3 linked regions of the Mus musculus genome follow. The protein of the gene in region 2 interacts with the protein of the main gene of each other region in a pairwise test. Links are inferred from orthologs where the notes say so. Each region holds a gene or a part of one and is shown on either strand. Other genes may lie near its edges. The genes, in order: Keap1, Hsp90aa1 and Rps3a1.

What was found.
Region 1: the proteins of Hsp90aa1 (region 2) and Keap1 interact in a two-hybrid assay, tested with the Homo sapiens proteins (2 studies listed by BioGRID). The link is inferred for Mus musculus from reciprocal best matches to the Homo sapiens genes HSP90AA1 and KEAP1.
Region 3: the proteins of Hsp90aa1 (region 2) and Rps3a1 interact in binary tests that used the Homo sapiens proteins (3 or more experiments, as listed by UniProt). The link is inferred for Mus musculus from reciprocal best matches to the Homo sapiens genes HSP90AA1 and RPS3A.

The regions. Positions count from the first base shown.
Region 1 is NC_000075.6:21,234,589-21,244,445, forward strand, and holds the start of Keap1 (kelch-like ECH-associated protein 1), read right to left. Parts: upstream 4,745-9,857; 5' UTR 3,122-4,744; coding exon 2,483-3,121; intron 1-2,482. Other genes in the region: S1pr5 (sphingosine 1-phosphate receptor 5), read right to left, coding at 9,338-9,857. UniProt on the Homo sapiens protein: Substrate-specific adapter of a BCR (BTB-CUL3-RBX1) E3 ubiquitin ligase complex that regulates the response to oxidative stress by targeting NFE2L2/NRF2 for ubiquitination.
Region 2 is NC_000078.6:110,690,366-110,700,292, forward strand, and holds Hsp90aa1 (heat shock protein HSP 90-alpha), read right to left. Parts: upstream 6,031-9,927; 5' UTR 5,887-6,030; intron 5,316-5,886; coding exon 5,154-5,315; intron 5,054-5,153; coding exon 4,687-5,053; intron 4,340-4,686; coding exon 4,206-4,339; intron 3,979-4,205; coding exon 3,658-3,978; intron 3,512-3,657; coding exon 3,346-3,511; intron 3,138-3,345; coding exon 2,947-3,137; intron 2,803-2,946; coding exon 2,655-2,802; intron 2,508-2,654; coding exon 2,239-2,507; intron 2,083-2,238; coding exon 1,749-2,082; intron 1,285-1,748; coding exon 1,175-1,284; 3' UTR 671-1,174; downstream 1-670. UniProt on the Homo sapiens protein: Molecular chaperone that promotes the maturation, structural maintenance and proper regulation of specific target proteins involved for instance in cell cycle control and signal transduction.
Region 3 is NC_000069.6:86,137,481-86,147,155, reverse strand, and holds Rps3a1 (40S ribosomal protein S3a), read left to right. Parts: upstream 1-4,487; 5' UTR 4,488-4,586; coding exon 4,587-4,648; intron 4,649-5,354; coding exon 5,355-5,458; intron 5,459-5,729; coding exon 5,730-5,917; intron 5,918-6,468; exon of another isoform or gene 6,469-6,539; intron 6,540-7,907; coding exon 7,908-8,116; intron 8,117-8,297; exon of another isoform or gene 8,298-8,365; intron 8,366-8,563; coding exon 8,564-8,673; intron 8,674-9,045; coding exon 9,046-9,167; 3' UTR 9,168-9,216; downstream 9,217-9,675.

The sequences.
Region 1 (9,857 bases), on a different chromosome or scaffold from region 2:
AGAAAGGCACTGGGTTCTTAATTTGTTTATTTGTTTGTTTGTTTATTTAACCCCAGGACTCATATGCTGGAAGAATCAACTCCTGCAAGTTGTCTTCTGACCTCCACATGAACTGTGGCACACACATTGCCCCCTAAATCAATACAATACAATACAATTTTTAGATTAATAAAAATAAAACATAAAATGACTGGCAGTTTACAGCTTGGCACTTGTTTTTTTTCAGATGTAGGAATATTTTACACAAATGATGAGACACCTAAGGAATAAGAGTATGGTATAAACAACTTCACTCGAGCCATCAAGGCCCATGTCAAGTCTCAGCACTTGGGAACCTGACATGTGAGAATCTTGAGTTTCAGACAAAAGCCAAGGGCCATGACAACCTGCTATCTCAAAAATCTAAATAAATAAACAAACTACTTTTATGCTGGTCCATATTGACCTTACACAGCTTCAAGGCTCTCTCTCTGTGTGTGTGTATGTGTGTGTGTGTGTGTTTGTCTGTGTGTAACTGGCCTGGAACTTTATGTAGAGCAGGCTGGCCTCACAGATCTGCCTGCCTTTGCCTACCCAGTGCTGGGATTAAAGGTGTGCACAGCCACACTTGGTTTATGTGAGGTGGGCATGGAACCCAGGGCTTCACGCATGCTGGGAAAGTGTCCTAGCAATCCAGCAGCACATGGGCCCTCTGAAGATGGTATGCCCTATGCACAGTGTGCCTGTGCGGTCACTGCCACCCATCTGGTGAGGTCAGGTGTGGACGGCACATGGTGTTCAAAAGCCTTGGGTGCACTTCAGAGTTGGTGATATTCAGAATGCAGTCGTGTCCAGGGGACTTTTCTAGTCACTGCCACCCAAGAGCAAGGCTTTCCCCAGCACTGTCCCATTACTTTCTCTTGCAGACTTCCTGCACTGAGAAACGAAAATGAAAGCAATACCAAGTGAACCCAGGGAAAGCCAAGCAAAGCTGGAGCCTGCATGGGTGAGGCTGGCGGGTGCTGGTGCCTGCCTGCTCATCACACTTTGCCCTGCTCTGGAGGAGATCAAGACAGGGTTTCTCTCTGTAGCCCTGGCTATCTTGGAATTCCCTTGGTAGATCAGGCTAGCCATGAACTCAGAGATCTGCCTGCCTCTGCCTCTGCCTCCTGAGTGCCGCCACCACCACCACACACACACACACACACACCACTTTTTTTAGACAGAGTCTCGCTGTGTAGCTCAGGCTGGCCATCACAACTTTTAACCCCAGGGAGATCAGGCTGCTGAGGCACTGGGAGGGCACATCTTTACCTATTCCTAAGGGCTCTCTGTATTTGGATTAGGGGCTCAGAATCTGAGTTTTTGGGCCAGCAATGTGGCTTTGTGGGTAAAGGCACTTTTCTGCCAGGCCTACCTGAGTTTAACCTAGAAACGTATATAAGGTAGCGAGAGCCACCTCCTGCAATTTGTCCTCCGACTTGCACACAAGATCAGTACATGTATACACACACAAATAAATATAATCTTTTTTTTTTTTTTAACTTCTTCAGAGTTTGGTGTTACTCAGCACTCAGAAAGTGACAGCAAAGACAGGACTTAAAACAAAACAAAACAAAAAGCAACTTCAATAGCCAGGTGTGGTGGCACATGCGGCCTTTACTCCCAAAGGCAGGAAGATCTCTGTTAGTTCAAGGCCAGGCTGGTCTACACATTGAGGTCCATGACAGACAGGACTGTTACCCTGTCCTGAAAAACAAAAATAAATAAAACAAAAAAGCTTCAGCTAAAGAAGACTGTCAAGCCAGGTGTGGTGGCGCACGCCTTTCATCCCAGCACTTGGGAGGCAGAGGCAGGCTAATTTCTGAGTTCGAGGCCAGCCTGGTCTACGGAGTGAGTTCCAGGACAGCCAGGGCTACACAGAGAAATCCTGCCTTGAAAAACCAAAACCAAAATAATAATAATAATAATAATAAGAAGAAGAAGAAGAAGAAGAAGAAGAAGAATACTGTCAAAAAATAAGACCACAGGTGCTCACAGTTGAGGGTACTACTGGCCTCTTCCAGAAGACTCGAGTTCAAATCCCAGCACCCACATGGCAGCTCACAACTGTCTGTAACTCCAAGGTCTGACACCTCACACACAGACAAACATTCAGACAAAACGCCAATCCACAGAAACTAAAGGCAAATAATTTTTTAAAAAAGATTTAAAAACAAAAGTAAAATCAAGTTCCGGGGCACTGCTGGCCTCCATTCTATTAAGTATTGGGAGGGCGAACGTCTGTAACTACAGTACTCGACAGACTGAGACAGGAATCAGGAATTTAAAGTCATCCTCAGATACCCAACCAGATTAGGGCCAGCCTGGACTACATGAGACCCTATGGGAGAAAAGAAGGAAGGAAAAAGAAAACACCCAACAGTTTTCCTCCAGCCTGTCGCAGGGGAGAACGCCACGCTGGCCTATCCCACTTCTGAGCCCAAAGCCCGGCTTCACTCACCTCCCCGAAGTGCATGTAGATATACTCCCGGGCACGCTGGTGCAGTTCAGTGCAGCCGATCTGCTCCGCGAAGTTGGCGATGCCAATGGCGTTGCTGGGGTCCAGCTGCTGCACGAGGAAGTCGCTGCAGGCTCGAACCACGCTGTCAATCTGGTACATGACCGCCCCGTTCATCACGTGCAGGACACACTTCTCGCCCACGGAGATGGAGGCCGTGTAGGCGAACTCAATAAGCCTTTCCATGACCTTAGGGTGGATGCCTTCGATGGACACCACCTCCATGCCCTGCTCCCGAAGCCCGTTGGTGAACATGGCTTTAAAGACTGGGCTGGAGGAGGCCAGCACCACTTTGTGAGCCATGAATTGGGCAGCTGGGATGTCCTCATATTTGACCTGCAGGGTCACGTCACAGAGTTGCTGGCTCAGGCGAAGCTCGTTCATGACGCCAAAAGCCTGCTTGGTGTGATCCTCTAGTGTGTAGCTGAAGGTTCGGTTACCGTCCTGCGAGGGCGTCACCTCTGCCTTGCACTCCGTGGAGGCATACATCACTGCGTCCCCGGCCCCCTCGGGGCACTTTGACCACAGGGGCAGGAACTGGCTGCTGCGGGGAGCCCCGCTAAGCTTGGGTTCGGGCTGCATGGGGTTCCTGATGACAAGACACAGTTCCTCTGCTAGCCGTTAGGGGCCTGGAGGGAGGGAAGAGCACAGCGCTGGGAACAGAGGCTGGGTTAGACCAGACCCTGCCACTTTATTTTATTTTATTTGAGACAGGGTCTTACATAGCCTAGGCTGGCTTCCAACTCACTATGCAACCAAAGCTGGCTCCTCCCGAGTGCTGGGATTACAGTATGTGCCACCATGTCCAGCCAGGCTTCTTTTTTTGCAAGACTAAGCAATGATATCTAAGTGCAGATTTTGCCAAGCCAAGTAAACTGGACACAGCCGGCTCCATTCAAACTAACTTCTCAACTCGCGGGCCTTCAGGGCATATCATGTTCCTTTTCCTGCTCAGAATCACCCAACACCTTTCACCGAGCCCAAGAATGGAAACCCCAAATCGTCAATGGCCTGTAAAACTCCACACCCGCTTTCCAACCTCTTCACTGTTCCAGCCATCCTTCCCTCCCCTTGCCTTCGTCCAACATGTCAGATTCCTTTCAACACCACACCAACATTTACAGAGCCTGCCATTTATGTATTTGGGACTGCTCTGAGCTCCAGAGACACAGCGAGAAGACAGAAAAGGCCTAAAAATAAAGCAAGGTCTGTATAGGAAACACTAAGCGAACACCAAGCTCCTGGGGCAAGAGAGTGTGCAGCATCTGGAACACCCACGGGGAGGGATTCAGGAGACCCTTGGAGACCTGGGGCCAGGGGAGGAATTATGCTTTCAAAGAAGATGTGGGGAGACAAGAGAGGGTCTGCGTCTGGCTCCCCAGGTTCTGGGCTCAGCCTGGAGTCGCGACTCCGCGTGTTTTGTCTATTAGATCACCGTGGGGAGGGGGGGGATGAAATGCTCCAGGGGCCCCAGCTAGTGAGCGACTGTCACGCGTGACCACACTGCCGGAGCTCGGGCCTGGCATTGCGCAGGGGGCTGTGCAGCGGCCGCCCGGTACCCGGCGCCTGCTCCAGCGGCCTCCCCACCGCTCGGAGGCGCAGCCCTGACGCCGGGAGAGCCCGCAGGGCCTGGTCCCGGGCCGCGGCCTGGAGCGGCTCACTCACCCCGCCATGGCCGCGCTCTGCCTCCGCCTCCGCCGCGCGGGTCACGGTGACTAAGCACAGCGCGCCACCCTGTCACAATAAGAGTCCCGGGGCGCCGGCCGCGGGCGACCCCTACCTCTACTCGCCGCGGCCACCACCCTACGAGGGCTCACGGGCTCGGCGGCGGGGTGCGCGCTTGGAGAAGGGCACGCGCTTCCCCCCACCGCGTGCACGGCCCCACGCGCGACCGCGGGCAGCTCCCGGAGCTGGCTCCCCACCGCATCCTCCGCGGGCGCTCGCTCACCTCCGTCCCACCCCCCCGGGTGTCTCTGTAGGTGCCACGCGTCCAATCCGCGCCGCCGGGCCGCCACGCGCCGCGCTTCCGGGAAGAGAGGAGGGGGACCGGAGTGGGGGTGGAGGGCTCGGATCGGGGCAGCGGTGCTGCGGGGTCCCGGGCGGCACGCGTGGGAGGAGCGGGAGGGCGGAAACGGGCGGCGGGTACGCAGAGGCAGTTCCAGCCCTTCCTGCAGGTGCCGGGCGGAGGGAGCAGGGCGTGGGTCTGGGCGGCCCTAGGAGGCTGCCTCCGGGTTAGGCTGTCCGGTACGCCTCCAGCTGAACCTGCACCGGCGGACCCTCCCACAGCCTGCACGGTCCAACTAGACCCATCTACCTGGTTGCGATATTTATCTTCTTGTAAAATAACTTTTTAATGTTTTTATTTCAATTTGTATTTTACTTTGTGCGTGTGGGTGTTTTGCCTGTATATGTATGTCTGTGCAACGTGGGCTGTGCAGTGTCCCCTAAAGTTACAGGTGGTTGTTAGCTACCATGCAAATGGGGGAATTGAACCCTGGACCACTGCAGGAGCAGCAAGTACTCTTAACTGCTGAGCCATCACTCCAGCCTTATAACTTCTTTTTGAGACAGGCCTCATTACATAGCCCTGGCTGGCCTTGAACACACAGAAACCTTCCTGCCTCTGCCTCTGCCTCCTTCGTGTGCTGTGGTTAAAGGCTGGGATATCACTCTGGGCTTTGTGTACATTAATTTGTGTGTGTGCTTGTGTTGAGGTCGGGGACGGCTGGCAGAAACTGATTCTCTTCCCCTATGTGGAGCCTGCAAAGTGCAGCTCGAGTGCTCCAGAGACACACTCTCCTCTCTGTGTGTTCATGTTTTCATGAGGAGAGGTATGGCATTCATCTGAGGGTGTTGGAGTGTTGGAATGCCCAGAGCTGCCTCTTTGTATTTCTCGTAACATCTTTATATATTTTTAATGGTAAGAGATACTTATTTGCTGCATATGGCATTTATGAGAGAAAGTTATTTTCTTGAACTATCAAGATGGCTCAGTGGGTAAAGGAGCGTCTGGCCAATTCTGGCCACCTAAGTTCCACCTCTGGTACTCACATAGTAGTAGAAAGCTTCCTCCTTCAGGTTGTTGTCCGATAACCTCCACATACACACATAAATTAACTTTGAAACATAAAGTTAAGCCAGGCGTGGTGGCGCACGCCTTTAATCCCAGCACTTGGGAGGCAGAGGCCAGCCTGGTCTACCCAGTGAGTTCCAGGACAGCCAGGCTACACAGAGAAACCCTGTCTCGGAAAACCAGGAAAGGTGGTTTAGAACACGTGTTGCTTTTGCAGAGGACCTGGAGTCCACTGCCACGATGCCTCACAGCCATCCATAGCTCCAGTTCAAGGGGACCCCATGCTGTCTTCTGACCTCTGTGGGCACCATGCAGGTAGGTGGTGCGCAGACATACAGGCAAGCAAAGTACTCGTGTACATAAAAGGAAATAAATCTAAAAATAAGAATATTGAGGGGACACATCTGTAATCCCAGCCACCAGGGCACTGAAGCAGGAGGATTACCTCCAGTTCACAGTAAGCCTGCTCGACCTAGCAAGACCTTATATCAGAAAACAAATGAATAAATATCAAAGAAAAGGATAGTTTCAAAAGAAATTTACCACGGGAGTCTGAAGCAGAGGGTTGAATGTTTGAGAACAGCCCAGACTACACAGTGAGACTCTGTCTGGGGTCAGGGAGGCAAGGAAAGCCAGGCATGGTGTCGTATACCCTTAATTTTAGAAGAAGCAGAGACAGGTGGATCTCTGTGAATTTGAGACAAGCCAGGGCTCATAGCAAGTTCCAGGCCAGCCTGGACTGCATGGTAAAACCTTACTTTGTTCTATTAACTTAATAATTTAAACAAAACAACAACAAAAATGCAGGACAGCTGAAATTGGGACACACTTGTAATGCCAGCACCCAGGAAGCTGGAGGAGAAGGATCAGAAAAGTGAAGGACGTCCTTGGCTACAAAGTGGTACAGCCTGCCTTACATAGTGAGACCCTCTTCCAAAATCAAAATGGCAAAAAACAACAACCAAAAAACCCATCTCAGGTCATTTTCCCACAGAATATGTCTGGAAGGTCTCTACAAATCCCAACAGTGCTTTTTAAATTTGGTATTTAAATAGGGAACTGAGTACTTTTTAAATTTAATATCAGAATCTCTAAGTTCCCTACTGTTAAACCACCAAGCCAACACACCAGGAAAGATATGAGATCTGAGGGAGGGTCTCTGGGAGCCAGCCGGACTGTATCCCCACCCCTCACCCCTGCTAGCTTTTCGCGAACTTCTGGGGAAAAAATTCATTTTATGCAAGTTGGCCCGCAATCCCAACCTGAGCGCATCCCCTTCACCACCTGCTTTCACTCTGCTTGCAGTTCCCAGAATTACCTCAAGGGACGCGCTGTTCCTTAACCAGCGGCTAAAAGCAGAACCCAGGCAATTCTCAGAGCTACTGCAAGGTGGCGCCCACACCCAGAGACTTCAAGGGAATCTTAGACTAAGAGCAGCGAATACCAGGCAAGCCCCTCCTGCATGGGGGTCCCAAGGGTAAAGCCGTACTAAGACCCTGGGGCAAGGGAAATCTGTTAGTTTCTTCATCTACCAAATGGAGGTTGAGGGCTGGGACTGGGTTTTGTCGCCACACAGCATAAGCCACGTGTGGCAGAGCACACCTTTGCTCACAGGAAACAAAATTCACAAGTATAAAGTCGTTTTTTTGGCTTCGTAGTATATTTAAAGTCAGTCTGGGTACAAGAAGCGTTGTCTCAGTGTGGGGGCTGCGGGGTGTGTGCTCATGCTGAACCTGGAGTGCACAGGAGCAGCCTCGACGTGCAGAACCATCTGAGTCCAGGAACCTGTCCACGGCACAGAGCAACCTTGTCATTGGTGTCAAGGACCTCGCATGAATATGAACCAGATGAACATGGCCGAAGTTGACATACAAGTTTAATGAACAGTTTAAACCTATGCTGTCTGTGGGGGGTATGGGGGGAAGCGGGTAGGAGCAGGGAGCAGGCATGAGGGGGCACTATTTGCAGGATGGGCGAGTCAGGTGATGCTGTTCTGAATCTGGTTGGGGAAGGCTGATGAACAGTCTAAAAGAGCTTCTCACCGTAGGGAATCGGTAGATGTTTGTCATAATTAGTGAGAAAGCAAAGCAAAGCAAACAGGGGTGGGGGTGAGATGGTAGGGCAAAGGATATTCGGGGGATAAAGGTGTTTGCTGGCAAGAATGACAGCCTGAGTTGGATCCTTAGGATCCCTGTGCTGGAAGGAAAAAACCGACTGAGGAAAGCTGTCCTTTGACCTCCGCCTGCACTCCTGCTGTGCCCAATGGGTACCCGTACATATACACAGGCACAAAATACATAAGTAGATAAAGGCTTTTAAGACACAGTCTCAAGCTGGGCATGGTGGCGCATGCCTTTAATCCCAGCACTCGGGAGGCAGAGGCAGGCGGATTTCTGAGTTCGAGGCCAGCCTGGTCTACAGAGTGAGTTCCAGGACAGCCAGGGCTACACAGAGAAACCCTGTCTCGAAAAACAAAAACAAAAACAAAAAACAAAAAGACACAGTCTCACTATGTAGCCCAGGCTGGCCTGAAATGATGTTGCTGTAAAGTAAAGGCATATCCAGGACCACCCCCACCCCCACCCCACCCTGCGCAGCCCAAATTAGCACTCAGAAGTTCCAGGCCAGCCTGGTTTACCTAGTGAGTTCCAGGCCATCTGAGGCTGCATAGTGAGTGTCTCTCTCAAAATAAACAATGAATAAATAAACAATTTTAAACATTTTAAAAGATTTATTTAGCTTGTTTGTATGAGAGTTTTGCCTGCATTCAATCTTTGTACCATGTGCATGCCTGGTGCCCTCAGAGGTCAGATGAGGGCATCAGATAACCTTGGAACTGAAGTTGCCAGAATCACCACTTGGGTGCTGGGAATGGAACACAGGTCCCCTGCAAGGGTAACAAGTGTTCTTAACTGCTGAGCCATCTCTCCAACCCCAATAAATAAACACTTTTAAAGAGGATAGTTACAACTTTCTGGGGGAAAATTAAAAAAAAAAATCAATAGATGAATGAATAGATTCTGAAAGATCCCAGTAAGGACAACTCCTTGAATTGTTTTTATTGTGGTTGTAATTTGTATGAAGAACCTGTCCACACTCTGGAAGTTTGGCAGCTGATATCTGACAGTCTCCAGAGCCAAATTTCCAGACCTAGGCTTACCTTTGTCCACAGCTCTGTTTCCTCTGTAGCCAGCCACTACTCCTGCCAGCCCTTAGCACACTCTTATCTAGACATCACCTGGTTCTGAGCATTCTTGGAGCCCCGCTCTCCTTTATCCCTTCATCTTTTAGCCATTCCCCTTGAACTTTGGTAGTCACAGGGTACCTGTGGAGGTCTGAATCCAGGAGAGTCCCTCCTTTGTTTAGAATTCTCTATGGCTCCCACTTCACTCAGAGCCAAACCTAAGGACTTCCTCAGAACCAACAAGACTTCCCCACAACCTGCCCTTTCATCTCCTGCTCCTCAATTTCTGCTGCAGCCATATGGAATGGCTCTCCTTCAGGGCTTCCCAGCTTAGGTTCCACTACCTGGATACCTTCTCATCACTTTCTTCTTTCCCTTATTGTCCATCTCAGATCCCGAGTGCATTTTTGTCTGTTCTTGTTATGGGGTGATCAATCACTTTCCCTTCTTTCTTGTATGTCCCCCTCCGTCGCTGGCTATTTCCTACAGATGATGCGCTTATTTGGCGAGTCAGTCTGTTCTTGCAAAGGGTTGGGAAGCGTCAGTCTGTAGCAGTAGGCACCAGGCTCCGGTTGGCGGTTGCTACTCCAGGACTGCCGGTGGAGCAGCTGGTGTCCACCCCGTCCTGCTGGGGAGACAAGTGTTCTGATGGGCTAGAGCTGCGATCCAAGGTTGGTGGCAGGCAGCGTCGCAGGCCACCACCGGAAGGCCCGGCAGCACTGGGGGATCGCTGCAAGCTGTTGGAGGAGTCTTGGTTGCAGGGTCCGCGGCCACAGCAGAGCAGCCGCAGGAGCGCGTGGCGCAGATCTCGGTTGGTGAAGGTGTAGATGATGGGATTCAGCAGCGAGTTAGCCATGGCTAGACCCAGGAAGGGATCGGCCTGCAGGAGCACGGGACACGCGCGGGCTGGGCACGCGACATCCAGTAATAGCAAGAGAAACAGCGGTCCCCAGCAGGCCACGAAGGCCAGGAGCACCACGCTAAGGGTACGAAGCAGGGCCAGCGACCGCGGCGTGTGCCGGGATCGCGAGGACGAGGTGGCCCTGCGGGACCCAGGACCC
Region 2 (9,927 bases):
AGGGTTTCTATCGCCACAATGAAATACCATGACCAGAGCAGCTTGGGGAGAAAAGGGGAGTTTATTTGCTGGACATCTCCACAGGACATAAGAGGGTCAGGAATGGAGGGAGAAGCCATAGAAGGTGCTGCTTACTGGCTTGCTCAGCCTCCTTATAGAATCCTGGATGGCACCACCTACAATGAGCTCATCAACTTATTAATGTCTTATAGGGCCGCCTACAACCCAATCTTTTTTTTGGTTTGGTTTCTCCTTATGGCCCTGGCTGGCCTAGAACTCAGAAATCCGCCTGCCGGGATTAAAGGCGTGCACCACCACCGCCCGGCTTTGGTTAGTGCTCTTTACCTGCCCCCTATAGTAAATACCCACTATTTTTCCTTATAGCCTCCAAGACAGGATTTCATGGAACTCAGGCTGGCCTCAAACTACCCAGCCAAGTCTTCAAACATGCCTTTATCTAAGAGGTGCTAGGACAAAATCCCAGAACCCCACAGACCAGCTGTTTTATATTCCCACTCTAGCAAGAAGGTCTGAGTGTGCTGGGGAAGAGAGGATGTCCACATATAGGACACACAAGATTAAGTCTCTGGACCAGTGTAATTTTTATGGATCAAATGTGTGTGTGTGTGTGGGGGTGCGCAAAGAAAAGACACATTCCACACTTCTTTTTATCTCCTCTGTATTTATCTTTTAAAGCAGAATGTGATTGGGCACTGTTATTTCCATTCACAAGCCTTGCTGAGTTACAAGACCTAGGAAACTTAGGGTTGTTCTCGGGACTTTGGAAAACAAGCCACTTGGGGAATTCCTGTCAGGTTGTTTTAACTTGTGTTTACTTCTAAGACTAATACATGCAGAATTAACTACAGGAAATGAAAATTTTAAGATGTAATTTAAGCCATCTTAATTTGGTCTCCTAAGGAATCCAGCTCAACAGCTAAACACTTCAGACCAGAGCAAACATGAACAGTAGGTTACGTTACGTCTTATAACAAACGCTCTATCAACCTCTTGAGTTAAACCTATAGTATCACAGTATCACATGTAGAAATTTTATCTTCCCCTTAGTTTTCATGCCACACAGATGTTTTAAATGTTAACAAAAATAAACAAAAATCATGGAAAATATATTATCAGAAGGAATGAAGGTAAGCAAACACATAGTTCTGGTGACTTAGTCTACTTCTTCCATGCGTGATGTGTCGTCATCTCCTTCCAGGGGAGGCATTTCTTCAGTTACAGCAGCACTGGTGTCATCCACAGTAGGATCATCCTCATCAATACCTTGTTTTGGAAATAAATGTTACAGTTAATGTCCGCTAAGGGAGGCGGAGACTTGCTTTAGACATTAACACCCCATCCAATCCCCTGAAAGGAAACTTTATTCATAGGGGGCAAGCCAAGTATGTGCCTATAAACCCCAGCACTGGGACAGAGGCAGAACCAGCCCAAAGCCATCCTCAAACACAAAGGTCACTGTTCATTTCATTCAAACCCTTTAGCTGAGGCTTCCATAACAGCAATAATCCAATTGTTTCAATAGCTACAAAAGTCAACTTCGTTTTTTTGTTTTTAAAGCCAGGGTTAGTATATATAGCTTTGGTTTTCCTGGAACTCTGTAGGCCACACTGGCCTAAAACTCAAAGGGCCTATCTGTCCCTTTACACCCTGACCCCAGCACTAGGATTAAAGGGGAGTTGCAACAGGTTTCTTTCCCTTATGTTAGTTACAGGTAGCCTGTAATTTACCTAGACCAAGCTTGATCATCCTGTAGATCCTGTTAGCATGGGTCTGGGGATCTTCCAGACTGAAGCCAGAAGATAGGAGTGCAGTTTCATACAGCAAGATGACCAGATCCTTCACAGATTTGTCATTCTTGTCAGCCTCTGCCTTTTGCCTTAAGGTTTCAATAATGGAGTGATCAGGATTTATCTCCAGGTGTTTCTTTGCTGCCATGTAACCCATTGTTGAGTTGTCTCTGAGGGCTTGAGCTTTCATGATTCTCTCCATGTTTGCTGTCCACCCATATGTGCTTGTGACAATACAGCACGGGGATGTCACCAGTCGGTTTGACACAACCACCTAAAATTAAAACAAAAACTAAGTGATGGCTTAGGCCATAGAAGAACTTACCAGAAAGAAATGATTATTTGAAACTGTAGGCATTAGCAGTGATTTAGTCAAAACTCAGATAAAAGGACCAAACTGACTACGAGTGATGTGTAACCATTCACATACCTTTTCAACCTTCTTCTCCAAAATATCTTTCATAATTTTGCAGAGGTTCTCAAATTTTGTCTTTTTCTCTTCCTGTTTCTTCTTTTCCTCTTCATCTTCTGGAAGTTCCAGTCCTTCTTTGGTAACAGACACCAAGGTCTTGCCCTCAAATTCCTTCAGCTGTTGCACACAATACTCATCAATGGGCTCAATCATATAAATTACTTCTAAGCCATGCTTTCGGAGACGTTCCACAAAGGCGGAGTTAGCAACCTGGTCCTTGGTCTCACCTGAGACAATATATATATTTATATTGTTAAGTTACTTTTAGAAATGGTTTCATGTATTCAGCTTTCCCTTAGGTACAGGCTGGACATTCTTGCCTCCTTAAGTGCTGTCCAACAGGTAGAGAAAACACCTGTTTACTTGACCATTACCTGTGATAAAATAGATGTGCTTCTGGTTTTCCTTCATTCTGGTACAGTAGTCCTTCAGAGAAACCATCTCGTCCCCAGAAGCAGATGTGTAGTACCGCAACAGCTCTGAAAGCTTCTTCCGATTCTGAGAGTCCTCGTGAATTCCAAGCTGAAGCACAAGCACAGGAAAGCCATTTATGAAGCATTAGCCTTTAATCCCCACACTTGGGAGGCAGAAGCAAGTGTGTGAGGACCCCTCCCCCAATCAAGTTAGTTTGGAAAACTGCCAGTAACAAGAAAATGTACCACCAACCTTTATATTTTTTGAGAACTGCTCATAAAACTTTTTGTAGTTCTCTTTATCTTCTGCTAGTTCAGTAAATAGTTCTAAGCATTTCTTGACCAAATTCTTTCTGATAACTTTCAGAATTTTACTTTGTTGCAGCATTTCACGGGAAATATTTAGAGGGAGATCCTCAGAATCCACTACCCCTCTAATGAAATCTGGGGAAAAACAAAGACACCTATTTAATCATTCTGAAACCTAAGGAATCTTTTTGGCTTTTTTCCAAGGGGACTGAGCCCAGAGCCTCAAACAAGTTAGGCAAACCCCGTCTCCACTAGGTTACATCCTCAGTCCCCCACCAACACAGACCCAACGAATGGGATTTTCTGTCTGTCAACAGTGCCGATTCTTCCCATCCCTACTTACTCAGATACTCAGGGATTAATTCCTCACAGTTATCCATGATAAAAACTCTGCGAACATACAACTTGATGTTGTTCTTTTTCTTTCTGTTTTCAAACAGATCAAAAGGAGCGCGTCTTGGGACAAAAAGAAGGGCCCGGAATTCTAATTGTCCTTCAACAGAAAAATGCTGCAATAAAATGAAACAACCTTTTAATGCCATGGACAAAATGAATTGGCTTTCTCTACTGGGCTAAGTTACACTTCGAAGCTTTTCTATAGGTGAGTATAGAGGTTTAAAAAGTCAACCTGAAAACCTGCTTTTAAGTCACTCACCTTTACTGCCAAGTGTTCTTCCCAATCGTTAGTTAAGCTCTTGTAGAACTCTCCATATTCCTCATTAGTGATGTCATCAGGATTTCTCGTCCAAATCGGCTTTGTTTTGTTGAGTTCTTCTTGATCAATGTACTTTTCCTTTATCTTCTTCTTTTTCTTCTTGTCACCATCCTTCTTCTCCTCCTCTTCTTCATCAGAGCCAACATCTTCTATTTCAGGTTTATCATCAGACTCCTTTTCTTCTTTTTCTTTCTCTTCCTCTTTCTCTTCCTTTTCTTCAGCCTCATCATCACTGACTTCCTTATCTCGTTCCTTCTCCACCTTGAAAGGCAAATCACTTCATTATAAATTTATACAACTAGGACAGATCTCAGAAATGTGTACAACCAAGAAGCCTCTCATCAGTAGTTTCTCTAATTTCTCCACAATCCTCTTCAGATACCACCTTTCCAAACAGGCTAATCTGTCTAGTACAACACCAGGTTCACAGAACTCTAAACAGCCTCAGTTATCTCAATTATATGAAATTTACCCTGTAGGTAACTTACAAAGAGAGTAATGGGATAGCCAATGAACTGAGAATGCTTCTTCACGATCTCCTTTATTCTCCTTTCCTCCAAATACTCTGTTTGGTCTTCTTTCAGATGCAAGATAACCTTTGTTCCACGACCCATTGGTTCACCTGGAAAAGAAAAGGGCAATGGTTACTATTCAAAGCCTCCATGCTTGCTGGAGGTTTCCTAGCAGCTAACCTTCCCCACAAATGCAAAGGTCTCCAAAGCTTTAACTTCCTTGCCCAAGATGTACAACTGAGCAAACAGCCATACATTTTTCCTATTTCCTAGCCCAGGTCCTGAAGCTCCCTTTAGATTAACAATTTTGTTGAAAAGCTCAGGACTTAGCACTAAGGCTATGTATGCCAGACTGCTCTTTAACTCTTCAACTCTCCAAGTTAACCCTCTCAAGCACTTACTGAAGTTAACCAGACACCCCCTACAATTGAATACATTCCTTTTGGCCTATGCCTACCTGTGTCAGTCCTCACTGTGAAGGATCCCCCAGCTGAGGACTCCCAGGCATACTGCTCATCGTCGTTATGCTTCGTGATGACAGTCACTTTCTCAGCAACCAAATAGGCAGAGTAAAAACCAACACCAAACTGGCCAATCATAGAGATATCTGCACCAGCCTGCAAAGCCTCCATGAAGGCTTTGGTGCCCGACTTGGCAATGGTGCCAAGGTTATTGATCAAGTCGGCCTTGGTCATTCCAATCCCGGTATCCACAATGGTCAGGGTTCGGTCCTGTTTGCTGGGAATGAGATTGATGTGCAGCTCCTTCCCCGAGTCCAGTTTACTGGGGTCCGTCAGGCTCTCGTAACGGATTTTATCCAGAGCCTATTAAGAAAAGATTAAAAATGAAAAAACCGTCAAGCGCAAACCCCAAGGTGAAATTTTCAGGGAAAGCAACGTCCAATCCTCCAAGTGGTATACTCACGTCCGATGAATTGGAGATGAGCTCCCTCAGAAAGATCTCTTTGTTCGAGTAGAAGGTATTGATGATCAAGGACATTAACTGGGCAATTTCTGCCTGAAAGGCAAAGGTCTCGACCTCCTCCTCCTCCATTGGTTGGTCTTGGGTCTGGGTTTCCTCAGGCATCTGGAACACAGAGGACGACTCTAAAGCCTCACAGAATGGCTGCAGGCGTGCTAACGACCGCCCCTCCTCTATAGAGGTCTCTTACCGACTCTATTTTGGACTAAGAAAGGGACGAAATAGAAAAGGGCGACGGGGCGGGGGGTGGATGACAAAGGGATGACCTCATTTCAGAATGCGGTAATTACGAAGCGCATGTGCGCGCCTCCGGGAGGACGTTCGGACCCGGGCGGCTCCACGCACGCCGTTCCTAACGGCCACCCTCCCCCAACCCGCCGCTATGGCGCCTCCCTCGCCCGCCCGCGCCTCGGCGGCACCGGCGACAGCCCAACCCTCGCTTCGCTCGCCCCGCGCCCGCCTCGCCGCCGCCACCGCTCCTCCTCGGCGGCCATTGCCGCATCCCCGGCCTGGGGCGTAGATATGAGGCCCGCCTGGGGCCTAGGGTCGGAAGCCATGGCCGCCCACCTCCGCGGGCTGAGGGAACTCGGATGGTGGCCCCGCTGCCGCCGCGGCGCCAGCAACCTACGGCCCTGCTCCCCAAGCCCCCGCTAAGTCCGCCTGCGCCATCACTCACCGTGGCTGAATGAACACGCACGAGACGTGACGCTCCGCACCAGGACACTGAAGCAACTGGCGCGCCGCCCCCTGCGCCGGCCTTATATAGAGGCGGGCCCGCCCAGCGCGCGGCGCTTCTTTCCAGAAGCCTCCGGAACCTTCCGGAAGAACCCTCCCCAACCGTCGCCTCGGCCGCGCGCCCGCGCCTGCGCAATGGACGGGCCCCGCCCCTCCACCTGGAGCGCGCCGAACCCGCGCGGAGAACGAACGCAAGCCCCTCCTCCACAGCCAGGTGCTCTGCACATGCGCAGTCCGGAACGCTCGGCGGGCCGGGCGCCTTCCCGGGCCGCACGCGCGCGCGCGGACGGGCCGGCCAGCGCATGCGCCTGAAGCCTCCATGTGAGCCCTGTGGTCTAAGGCTTCTTTTCCCCGGCGCTCTGTAAAAGGGACGTCCCCATGGGAACGCGCGCGTGTTGTGTGAACCTCGCGGTCCTCTGCGGCGCTTTAGGTCCTTGCAGGCAAAAGGTCCCCCTTCGGGCTCCCTTTGGGAACGCGGACCCCGCAGGAGGCGAGTCCCGCCCCCCCCCTGGCTTCCACCTTGATGGGTGGGGCGCCTCCCGGACTGGGGTTCTGGTTGCGTAGTCTGAATTTCAGGGCTGACCCCGCTGGAGTGTGTTCTGAAGCCTTACAGTGGGCTTACTGAGAGACCTTACACGGTGGGTCTTACAAATCCGTCCAGAGTGCTTGGGGATTTCTCTTTGACCAAAAGCTATGACCCTCAAATTGGGCGTTGTGAGGGATTTTGTATCAAATTTGTGCTACCTTAATTTACTGTAATTTTGGGGCTGGAAAGATGGCTCTTCCAGTAAAGGTGCTTGGGTTTGATATCTGCCACCCAGAGCGTGGGAAAAAAAGCTAGCCTTCAGCGCTGTGTCTCCCACGTGCCCATACACACACACACTCGCACAGTGTGAAAATAAGTGTAAAGGACTAGAGAGATGGCTGGGAGCAGTTAGTGGTGCCAAACACGCACGTTAAGGCAGCTCACAACCACCAGTTACTACAGTTCTTGGAAATAAACTATCCTCTCTGGCCTCCACGGGCACCAGGAACACACATGGTGCACAGGCACACGCAGTCAAAAAATGGTCATATAAAACACTCTATCCTGATTTTTGAAGCACCTTCATATGGTGTACATACGAAGTTACTTTGGGCGATTAACGTGACCCAAAAGATAGTTTCCTTGTTTGTTTATCTTTAATATAGGCTTCGGTTTCACTCCCCATACCTTTCCTTTGGGTTACTCCCACCCTGTATTTCCTATTTCCGCATCTTTTCCTGCTGACAAAACGATTACTAAGATTAGAAAGAAAAGGGCTGGAGAGATAGCTCAGTGGTTAAAAGCATGGACTGGTCTTCCAGAGGACCCAGGTTCAATTCCCAACACCCACAAGGCAGCTCACAGCTGTCCATAACTCCAATATCTGACACCTTCACACAAACATACATGTAGGCAAAACACCAATACACATAAAATAATAAATAAAAGCTTAGAAAGAAAAGAAGCCGGGAAAGAGGAAGCCAGGCAGTGGTGGCATAAGCCTTTTTAATCCAAGCACTCGGGAGGGAGTCAGAGGCAGGTGGATTTCTGAGTTTGATGACAGCCTGGTCTACAGGGTGAGTTCCAGGACAACCAGGGAAACCCTGTCTGGGGGAGTTGGGGGGAAGAAAGAAGAAAGAATGTGCTCTGTGGACAAAAACACAGCAGGCAATTTCCTCTGGGAGAGGAAGAAAGTCACCCATCTCCATCTCGCCCTCCCTCCAGGGAACGAGGCCCTTTCCCAGCAGCTGAGGAAAGACCTCTGGCCCCCCTCTCTGAACTGAGTGGGGGCATTAAGTAGAAACAGTTTTCTTTTTTGAGGTATTAGCTTTTTTTATACAGGATCACATTTTGCAACCCCTTGCTATGCAGAGCAGGCTGGCCCTGAATTCACATAGATCTGCCTGCTCCTGTTGAGGTGTGTATCATCGTCCCCAGCTGTACTCTCCAGGGCCACTCCTTTTCCCTAAGACTGGCCTTTTGTGTTGGGTGCCAGGACTATTAGGTGTTGATTTTTAATTGTTTGCATAAAAACCACAAGTCAAGCTCCAAGCTGTTAGGATCTCTACCCTAGAAGGGACTTTTGCTTTTTAGTTTTGGTTTTGTGGTCTCCACACCAGGAATGAACCCAAGGCTACCTATGTGATACACTAGGCAAGCTAGGCCCTCCACTGGGCCAGAACAGGCTCTCAGTTGCCAATACTTGCTTTAAGGGAACTTTAGCACAGGCAGACTGAATTTCCATCTTCCTATCTCAGCCTTCCAAGTAGCTGGGACTGAAGGCCAAGATCTGGCTTAAGGTCTCCTGTTATCAATCAGGCCAGCAACCAACCAATCAACTAAAATCTAAAAAGGAAACCAGTAGAGGAAGCAAGTTTAAAGGGTTTCTGGAAGGCGGGGTGACCAACATGAGGTAGCGTAGAAACTTAGAAACGTAAAGGGGCACAGGAGAGAGAGCCTTCACTCCGGAGTCTAACCCAAGTTCCTCACCAACTGAGAGTCACAAACTTCAGAACAATTAACAACCTTTGCTTGTGAAGGTTGTCTGCAAAGACTATATTCCTTGTGTAGCATTTTGTCTAAGGTCCGCCTCACAGTTATCTGGCTACAGCCAGCCAGGTACCTGACTCACTGTAAAAGGGGCTGTTCTGCGGCCCCTCCGCGGCTCGCTCGCTTGCTCTTGGCTTCTTGCTCCTGCTCTGTCCTCTTGCCCCTCCCCCCTTCTCCTCCCCCCTCTCTAGCCATGTGCTCATGGCCGACTTCTACTTCTCTGCTCGCTCTCTCGCTCGCTCGCTCTCTCTCTCCCTCTCTCTCTCTCTCTCTCTTTGCCTTTCTCTGTCTTTACTACCCTCTCAACTCCCCTGGTCCCTCAGGGAGAAAGGATGCCTCAGCAGGGGCCGGCAGAGGCACCACTTCCCCCATACCTGACACCTTGACATCTGACTCCACCTTCACCAAACATATCCCCCCTCTCCTTATCTTTTTATAAAACACAACACCTTGTAAATAGAGATTTAAAATAAGAATGCTAAAAATGAAAGGCTGAAGAGATGACTCAGCAGTTAAGAACCCTGGCTGCTCCTCCAGAGAACCCGGGTTCAAGTCCAGCACCCTAGATGACAGCTGGAAGTCCCAGGGGTCTGACTCCAAGCATACTGCATGTACACAGTACACAGCCATTCATTCAGGCAAACAGCTCTTCATAGACAGAAAAATAAACTGAAACAAAAAAAAAAGTTAAAATGAACCATGCTTAAGACCCAAGCATCGGGACTGGAGAGATGGCTCAGTGGTTAAGAGCACTGACTGCTCTTCTGAAGGTCCTGAGTTCAATTCCCAGAAACCACATGATGGCTCACAACCATCCATAATAAGATCTGACGCCCTCGTCTGGTCTGTCTGAAGACAGCTACAGTGTACTTACATATAATAAATAAATCTTAAAACATAAATAAAAAATAAAAAAGACCCAAGCATCATGCAGGAGAGTTCCATTCTCAGCACCCATGTAGCAGCTCACAGCTGTCTGTAACTTCAGTTTTAGGGAATTCACACCCTCACACAGACCTACATTCAGGCTAAACACTAATTGCACGTTACGACGGCAGAAACCTAAAATGTCTAGGCATCTCTGCCCTCATGCCCTTTCTAGATGTGAGTTCAAAATGTTCTGGGAATCTCACAGACTAGCCTAAAACTTTGGCTTGTGATTAAAAACATCTTAACTCTGTTTGACCCCTTGGTGGCCTATGGCTCTTAGTTGTCATCTTATTCAGTGCACCCCAGGGCCCACCCTAGGGTCTCATCTAAGTTCTTCAGCACCCCTTTGAAACATAACTCTAGAAGCCACTGCGATCCTATATATAGCTACTGAGTTGACACTTGAGCACAACTCTCCTGAGTTTGTATGTGTGCGTGTGTGTGTCTTGCTTTTCCTGAGCAGCTACTGATCCTCCT
Region 3 (9,675 bases), on a different chromosome or scaffold from region 2:
AATAAAATGACCCCCAATGACATAATTCCATTTCTGTAGGTCAGTGCCCCACTCAGCCTACATCAGAGAAGCTCCTTCTTAAAGTAACTGGGAATTAGCAAAGAGATTCACAATTGGACAAGGTGTGGAGAATGAGAGACGACTGTGGAGCACTCAGTCCTAGATGTCTCCATCCCCTCAAGGGTAAGGGAACTGTGTGGAGAGGAAGCAAAGTGCTAAGAGCCAGAGCTGATGGCTGACTAAAGGAAGCAGCATCTTCCAGACACAGCAGGATTGGTGCACATATGAGAAACCACAGATTTGTTTGTTGCAGATGCACAGGGCCTGCACAGGTTCAAGCCTGATAAAGTCCTAACACTGAGAGGGAAAGGCAGACATGGGGTCTGCTTTGTGGTTTTTTAAATTTATTTTTATTTTTTAGTTTTTTTTTTTTTTTTGGTTTTTCGAGACAGGGTTTCTCTTTATAGTCCTGGCTGTCCTGGAACTCACTTTGTAGACCAGGCTGGCCTCGAACTCAGAAATCCTCCTGCCTTTGCCTCCCGAGTGCTGGGATTAAAGGCGTGCGTCACCACGCCCGGCTATTTTTAGTTTTTTAAAGACAGGAGAAAACAGAACATAAAGTTGGACGGGTAGGGAGGCAGAAGATCTGGGAGGGATTCAGAGAGGGAAAAACATGATCAAAATATGTTGGGCAGTGGTGGCACATGCCTTTAATCCCAGCACTTGGGAGGCAGAGGCAGGTGGGTTCGAGGCCAGCCTGGTCTACAGAGTGAGTTCCAGAATAGCCAGGGCTATACAGAGAAACCCTGTCTCGGAAAACCAAATAAACAAACAAAAACAACTCAAGAAACAAACAAAATATGTAGCGTAATTCTTTTCAATAAAATAATAAAGTCAGATTCTCACTATATAGGCCTGACTGGCTTGGAATTCACTATGTAGACCAGGCTAGCCTCTAACTCATAGATCCAATTGTCTCTGCCTCCTGAGTGCTGGGATTAAGGGTGATACAGGGTCTCATGTCTCATTTGAGGCTCTGTTGGCCTCAAACTCCCTATGTGTTACCTTGAACTCTGATCCTCTGCACTTCCTGTGTGTTACACATGCCGCTGCCACCTCCTCTTCCTCCTCCTCCTCCTTTCCTCTTTTCTCAAATAGCGGTTCTCTGTGTAGCCCTGGTTGTCCTGGAACTCTGTAGACCAGCCTGGCCTGAAACTGATCCACCTGCCTCTGCTTCCTGAGTGCTGGGATAAAGGCAAGCACTACTACTGTTCAGGCGTGCATTTCTACACCCAGTTCATGTGGTGCTAGGCTTTGTGTCAGACGAGCATCTAGGAACTGGGTTACATCCCTAGCCCTTTGTTTCTGTCTTCTGAATTGTAGTAAGAAAAATAAGATCTATTTTCAGATTACCTTTTGACGTGGGGAGGAAGGGAGTTTGGTGAACTGTGCTGAAGATCAAGTCAAGGCCTTCCTAACTGTAAGACAAATGATCTCTATCACTTACTTACATTGCAGGCCTCATCTTAACGATCTCTGAGGATACACTTGGGTAGTTTTAAATAGAGTCACACAGTAAGGACTGGAGACATGACAGACAACTGAGATTTGTGGAGTTACTGAGGACTTTTTGGGTGGGACTAAAGGGTCAGGGAGATTGGCTCAGAGGGCAGGGGTAGGAGGACTAGGAGGGATCTTAAGAGTTAAAGGCTTGCCGAATGGAAGCTATGCTGTAGCTGTGAGGGTTTGGTGGGACTTAATGACTACCAAGAAGAGCCTGAGGGCAAAGAAAAGCCCCGAGGGCCCAGCATCCAAGGTGTCTGCCAGGCGTGACTAGTCACAGACTGGGGAGTTCAAGTGCTTTTAACATGACCGATCGGAACAAAGATGGCTTCATCAACAGAGAAAAGTTTCATCATATGCTTCCTTGTTGGAGAAAAAGTCCAGCTGATGAGCATCTTGACTGATGCTATGATTAGTGAGGCTTCGGGTTCCATCGAATTCTGACAATGTCTTCTGAGAAGTTAAACAGGACCCATTACGAAGTTTGGTACCCTTCAATGGGGTGACTCGATGGAGGAGCAGGAATGGTGTGAGAGATCCATTTATAGGACAGGGTGGATGAGCTGCAGAGAAAGGCACCTGTTGACAGAAAGGGAAACTTGATTACACTGGACTCATACACATCCTAAAGAGAGAGAGGCAAACGACAGAGAGGATGGAGGAGAGCCTCACATTCAGCTAGAAGCCAGAATATGACGAGACTTCTAGCTTCTTGGGAACCTGAGGTGGGAGGATCCTGTAAGATCTGGGAGAAGGCGAAGCCACATACAGAAACTCCATCTCAAAATAACAATAATAGCAACAGTTGTAACCAAATACTCCTAGCTACTACTTGGGGTGTTTATATTATAACACACACACACACACACACACACACACACACACACACACACACATTTACACATTTCTTTATGGTCAAGGACGATGAACCAAGTTACCTTGGTCACACCAATATACACTGTCACAGAGCAACATTTCCAGTCCTAGGTCTTCAGAGAAAGGCCTCACTGTGTAGCCCAGGCTACCCTCAGAGACTCTTGTCTTGGCCTTCTGAATGCTAGGATTACAGGGGTGTGCCATCACCCCTGGCTCCACAAGTTCCTTTCAACTAAACAGGTTTTGCTGTTCTTGTTTTAGCCTCAGACAGCTGGGTACATGTTATCTTTATAATAGGCATTTCTGTCATTTCCCAAATATAGGGTAACATGACGGTAGCCCTCCTCTCAAATCAGAGTCAATTTTGTTAAAGAAAGTTTTCAATTTGTTTCTGAACCCTAATCAATCTTTATATCTGAAGGGGAAAAAAAGCATTTAAAAACTTCTTGGGAGCCTGGTGAAGAGGGAGTTGGTTCTGATTTGGTCACCATTTTTTTTGTTTTTGGCCTTGGCTAGAGAGGATGTTAGAGTTCTGCCCTTGAGGTAGCTGGTGACATGTCACCAGGCTGTGATCTTCTGAACTAGATGTGGCAGAGCATGTCAGCAATGCCGGCACCCAGGAGGCGGAGGCTTGAGGAAGGTGAATTTGAGGTCAGCCCGAACAACACAGGAGGAATCTTGTTTTGAAAAATACTAACATAAGAATGGGGAAGCCATTTTTTATGGTGGGGGTTTGGGGATGTGGAGGGGTGGAGATAGAGGTAGAGAAATGGCTTAGTGGTTAAGAGTAGTAGTGACTGCTCTTCTAGAGGACCCAGGTTCAATTCCCAGGACCCACATGATAGCTCACAACTGTCTGTAACTCCAGTTCCAGGGGATCTGGGACTTTCACACAGACAAACATGCAGGCAAACCATATAAAATAAAAATAAAGACATCACTTTTAAAAGTGGGGAAGGGGTGGTTTGCATTAAGAAAATTGGTGGGCAGTTAGGTACAACAATTGATCACGACTGTGCCTTTTTGGGGTGCTAGAGATGGAATCCGTTGTCTCAGGCATGCTGAGGCTTTTCCAGGACACCACTCTAGTCCCCACTCCACTAAAAACCCAAACACTCCTCCTATCCCAGAAAAAACAAAACCAACCAACCAAAAACCCAGGGCTGTCGAGATGGCTCAGCTGGTAAAGGCACCTGCAGAGACCTCTCAGGCAGTGAGGAGGCAGGGCACATTGTATGGCAGCGCTGCGGGCCAGTGTGCGCAGGATGGCAGCCTCTCCCTGAGCCTTATACCCACATAGTGGAAGAAGAGAACCAACTCTTGAGAATAGGTCTCTGACCTCCACACAGAGACCTGTGAGGCACAGGACCACACACATAGTCATACAAAAAAAAAATGTGATTACAAATGTGTAAGAGTTACATATGTATATATGTGTGTGTGTGTATATATATATTCTCTCCTCTCCCCTTCCCAGTCTGTCTTGCTAGGTAGTTCAGGCTAGTACTCACCATATACTCCAGGCTCTCCTCCAACTTGCTGTCCTCCTGCCTCCAGAGCTCTGGGATTGCACACACGGCTAAGCCTCTTTTTTCATGAAAGTTCACAACACAGCCAAGCCCAAGAGTAGTCAGCACGTGAACAGCGTGCCCGAAGTCATGCTTATTGAATTACACTAATGTTTTGAAATAGATCACATGAATATTCCCGTTTTACACCCGAGGGAACTGATGGCTAAAGAGGTCAGAAGGCTAAGTACTGTTGGAATCACCATTTGAACATGGATTTGCTATCTCTGATTCAAAGCCCATGGTCTAGGGAAGAAACGTACTCTCAAAATTAGAAACAGAGAGTTCCCACCCTCGGGGCAACGGAAACCACAAGAAACCTGAAGTGGGTTGAGCATCTCTGACAATCTGCAGGCTCCCATGCACAGCCTAGCCAGCCCGCGGCCCGCTGCGCGACCTCCCGACACACGAGGGCGCTGTCGCAGCACGGCGGGAAACGAGCCGCCAGCTAGTGTCGCGAGATTCTTAAAGCCGGAAGGGCGAAAGAGCAAGGGTCACGTAGACGGCGCTCCCCGCCCGGCTCGCGTTAAGTTCTCGCGCGAGTTGTACTTCCGCCCTTTTGGCTCTCCGGTCGGCACCATGGCGGTCGGCAAGAACAAGCGCCTGACGAAAGGTGGCAAGAAGGGAGCTAAGAAGAAAGTGTGAGTGGCGGATCGCGCGGGTCCCCGGCCGTTGGGCTCCGCAGGAGTTGGTGGGCGGGTTCTGGGGTGCGGCGTGGGGCGGATGGTGAGGATGCGGGGTGGATTGCGCGGCGGTGCTGCGCTGCGCGGCTGGCGGGTGCGTCCCGGGCGGCCGCCTCTCCGCCACCCGGCCGGGTGTCGCGCGCCGCGTGTGATCTCCGCCCTGCGTCTCTAGCAGTCGCTCGCGTGTCGCGCGCGAACTGTGGGCTCCTGGGTTGCTGGAAGTCCGTGGCACTTTTTAACACCGCTCTACGTCAGTCACTCTGGCTGTCCATGTCGGGACCCCATGTCAACTTGTGTGCTGGGCTCTCGTGGGACCGACCTGGAGACCCGGGACACTTGTTTAGCAGCAGTTTGTGCTGTTGCGGACCAGTCACTGTCACAGGTCCCTGAGGTTCCAGGGCAGTGTGTATATAGTACTGCCTGTGTGATGGAGGAGTGGGGAAGGCATGGCTTCGAACTTACTGCTTTGTGCACTGGCAGACCAGCCGGCCTCGCAGACGTTCACCCCACGGGGAGGACGTCCGTCGTGTTAAGTGCAGGCCGATTGCAAGATCGTGCCTGGGAAACTGTTAACAGAAGTCTGAAGGATAAGAAGCGTTTAAAAGTGGTCGGGAGTGTTGTTACAATTTACAGAGAAACTTGAGGTTATTTTTCTCCCATCCAGGGTCGATCCATTTTCTAAGAAAGACTGGTACGATGTGAAAGCTCCAGCCATGTTCAATATTAGGAACATCGGGAAGACACTAGTCACGAGGACTCAAGGAACCAGTGAGTACTGTGGGCCCCTTTTGCTTTGTTCCTAAGCTGTGGCATGTGCATATTAACCGGCGCCTTGGTCAACTCTGATGGGGCGCTGGATTGAAATGTCAGCCCAGTGGTTGGAGGGCCTGGCATTGGGAGTGCTTGGTCTTAGTACAGATGTGGCAGCAATGAAGTGTTTGTACAGCTGTCCAAGAGAACGTTTAGGTGTTGGCAGTAAGCCACTGGTGTGAAGGTGGGTTTGGTTAACAAGTTAACAGGGTTTGTGGTTCTTTTTTAGAAATTGCCTCTGATGGCCTCAAGGGTCGTGTGTTTGAAGTGAGCCTTGCTGATCTACAGAATGATGAAGTTGCGTTTAGAAAATTCAAGCTAATCACTGAGGACGTTCAGGGCAAAAACTGTCTGACTAACTTCCATGGTATGGATCTTACCCGGGACAAAATGTGCTCCATGGTCAAGAAGTGGCAGGTGAGACCAAAAGCTGCGAGTGTGAGTGCTGTGGTGTGGGTGTGCAGATGTGTCATGGGTGTGTTGGTTGGTAGGTAGTATCAAAACATGGAATGGAGAAGTTGGTTTCATTTCATTTGAGTATCACTGTTAATTCTTGAGTGCTGGAGGTAGAATCCAGGGCTTTCCACATGCTGGGACATCAGTCCTAACATTGAGCTGCATCCTTTAACTTGGTATTGCTTGTTACGGCCACATTAGGTGAGTTGGGCAGCTTTGCCAGTTTGGGGACTGTTCTAGGGTTAACATCGTTAGAGTTGATAGAGAAAAGGTGCTCTATCTAGCTGACTCAGTTGTCTGACAGTGGAGTGTGGCTAGAGTCAGATTCGGTCCCCTTCTGTCCTTGAAAGTAGTAACAAGCTTTGATAGCTTAATTTCTTCAACATCAGCCCCTGGGGTTGTGAAGATGAAATGACATGTAGGGAAATGGGCTTAGCATGGTGACCAGCAAAGAAGGCTGATTCAAGGGAAAGCTGTTCAGATGTATCCTGATATTGACATTGTATATGGGAATGAGTGATGACAAGATGTTTCGGTCCCAAATGAAGCCTACTGATTACCGTAACATTTATTGCTGACATTCCCTTATACTTTATGTAATTTTGGAAATAATAGGCTATTTAGTACATACTGATGTATATACTCCTTTGCAGTGAAGTGGATGCCAGGATTTTGTTTCCGGGCAGTTCTGCTGGTCTCAAATTCTTGAGTGATAGGATTGAAGGCATGTACCACCGCTCACGGCAAATATTGGGTATATTTGAGAACTTAATATTTGTAAAATTCAAAGAAATCAGATCGCTTTGCCACAAAAATGGTCCTCTAAAAGATGGTAGTATGGTCTAATTACAGATTTTGTTTAGCTTTGGATCTTAGCTTTGGAATTATGTTTTTAAGTTCTTTGTGTAACTTAGGAATAAAAAGGCATTTAGAAAATACAGTTTTACAGCAGAACTTCTCCACTGCCCTCTTTCAAGAAAGGATCTTCAGGTCTGGAGGGATGGCTCAGCAGTTAAAAGCACTGACTGCTTTTCCAGAGGTCCTGAGTTCAATTTCCAGGAACCACATGGTGGCTCAAAACCATCTGTAATGGGATCTCATGCCCTCTTATGGTTTATCTAAAGACAGCTACAGTGTACTCACATAAAATAAATTTTTTAAAATAAAAAGGGTCTCCAACCTGTTGTGATCTGGTACTTGCTATGTAGACCTTTGTATACTGAGTGCAAGGATTGCAGACATCTGTCATGTACAGCTTATTGTGTGTTTGGTTTTTTTGGGCTCAAATTCCTAAAAGATCCAACATTTTTGTGTGTCCTGCTTGGAGTACTGAAACTAAAGCCGCCACACACAACCTATTTTTCCTTTCTAACAGGATCTTTCTTTTCTTCCTTTTGTGATTTTTTTTTTTTTTTTTTTTTTTTTTTTTGAGACCGGGTTTCTGTGTGTATCCCTGGTTGTCCTGGAACTCACTTTGTAGACCAGGCTAGCCTCGAACTCAGAAATCCGCCTGCCTCTGCTTCCTAAGTGCTGGGATTAAAGGTGTGCGCCACCACACCCGGCTATTTTTCCTTTTTAAAAGATAATATTCAGTTTCATTCTGTCTATACTATCTTAGAATTTAACTTACAAAGCTTTTATGTTTGAGGGATGTTGACATAAATGTAAAGGGTATGGGTCCAGTTGATTGTTTTAAAGGGAGGGCAACAATGATTTTGGGGTATCATTTTAATTTCACTTTAAGGAAGTGCCATAAACGGTATATTTGTCACGTGGGCTTGACATTTCCAAGGTTTTACATTAGCACTTAAAATGATTTAGGCCGTGAAAAACATAAAAGGGAGGGGAATCTCTGAGTTCAAGGCTAACCAGGGCTATGCTGTGAGAACCTGTCTCAGAAAACAGCAAACCCCAAAACCATTATGAGCTGACAGTATCCTTTTCTCACTAGACCATGATCGAAGCTCACGTTGATGTCAAGACGACCGATGGGTATTTGCTCCGACTTTTCTGTGTTGGCTTCACTAAGAAACGCAACAACCAGATAAGAAAGACATCCTATGCGCAGCACCAGCAAGTCCGCCAGATCCGGAAGAAGATGATGGAAATCATGACCCGAGAGGTGCAGACTAATGACTTGAAGGAAGTAGTTAATAAACTGTAAGTGCGTTTCTTTTCTCTCCTCTAAAAATGTTCAGAATGCCTGTTAAATCATCCTTCTGTTAAAGAAGAGGTGGAGTTGGACCTCAGCTTAAGCACTTCTAACATTGAAGTTATCTTACAGTGGACAGTGAAAATTAGACTTAATACACAATGAATAACAACTTTAATAATGCATGGGAACATGTGATGAGAAACTGTTTCGGTCCCAGTTGATGGCCACTGATAACATTACATTTTTCTGATGTTCCCATGCAGTATACAGGTGGTTAAGCGTGTTAGACAAAAAAGCATAAGGAAGACTTAAACGTTGATTTTGTTGCTAGGTGTTAAATTTAGATACTAAGATTGTTTTTTTGCCATTTAAAGAAAATTGCTTCTTGTATGAGAGACTTTGGTGGGTTTTTTGTTTGCGTGTCTTTTAAAAAAAGTTTATTGTTCTTGCAGGATTCCAGACAGCATTGGGAAAGACATAGAAAAGGCTTGCCAGTCCATTTATCCTCTCCATGACGTCTTTGTTAGAAAAGTAAAAATGCTGAAGAAACCCAAGTTTGAATGTAAGTGGGAAATCATGTTTCATGAGATAGAAGTTTGTGGAACCAAGTACGTGGTTTTAGAAATGACTGGTTAACATTCTTGATGGGTGTATGTGTATGAGTGATTTGCCTCTGTGTGTGTGTGTGTGTGTGTGTGTGTGTGTGTGTGTGTACACACGTTCCTGGAGACGTTGGTGTTGAGGGGCTGCGGCTGCAGATGGTTACGAGCCACCTGTGGGTGCTGGGTGCTCTGCAAGGACAAGTGCCACCTCTTCACCACTGAGCCAGCCTCTGCATGAAGGTTTTCAGGGCAAAGTAACGGTCGCTTCCTTCGGGCTGTAGTTTAGGTTCTGATACTTGTTTCTAACAGGATCCTCTTCCTTTTCCTTTCAGTGGGCAAGCTCATGGAGCTGCATGGGGAAGGCGGCAGCTCTGGCAAAGCAGCTGGAGACGAGACGGGTGCTAAGGTTGAGCGAGCTGACGGATATGAACCGCCAGTCCAAGAATCAGTGTAAAATCCAGATTTTTAATAGTGACAAATAAAAAGTCCTATTTGTGATCGTTTGCTTCTGTCCATTGATTTGAAACACGAGAGCCTGGTGAATCAGGTGTTGATTTTAGTGGGTTTTATCCATTAAGTTAGAAGCCAGGTTAGTAATGAGACAGGGTGGGGCTCTGTCTGGCCTCCAACAGATTTGCATATATCTGGTTTTAAGGCGTGTGCCACAACACCCTGAAAATAGAAACCAGCATACTCCCAAAGTTCTTTTCTCCCTTTAAATAACCACACTGCTCAGTAGCAGAGTTAGTTATAAAGTAGCAGCAACAAAGATGGTTTTATCATGGCAAAAAGGGTCACAGCATTAGGGTGGTTAGGACCACTGGGTTAGACTATATATACTTGGTGAACCAGAAGACTGAAAACTGAAAATCATAAGATTTTATGAAGCCCAGGGATCATCCAGATCTCGGGCCTTACATGTGCTAGGTAAGTGCTTTGCCACTGAGCGTGTGTGTGAGTGT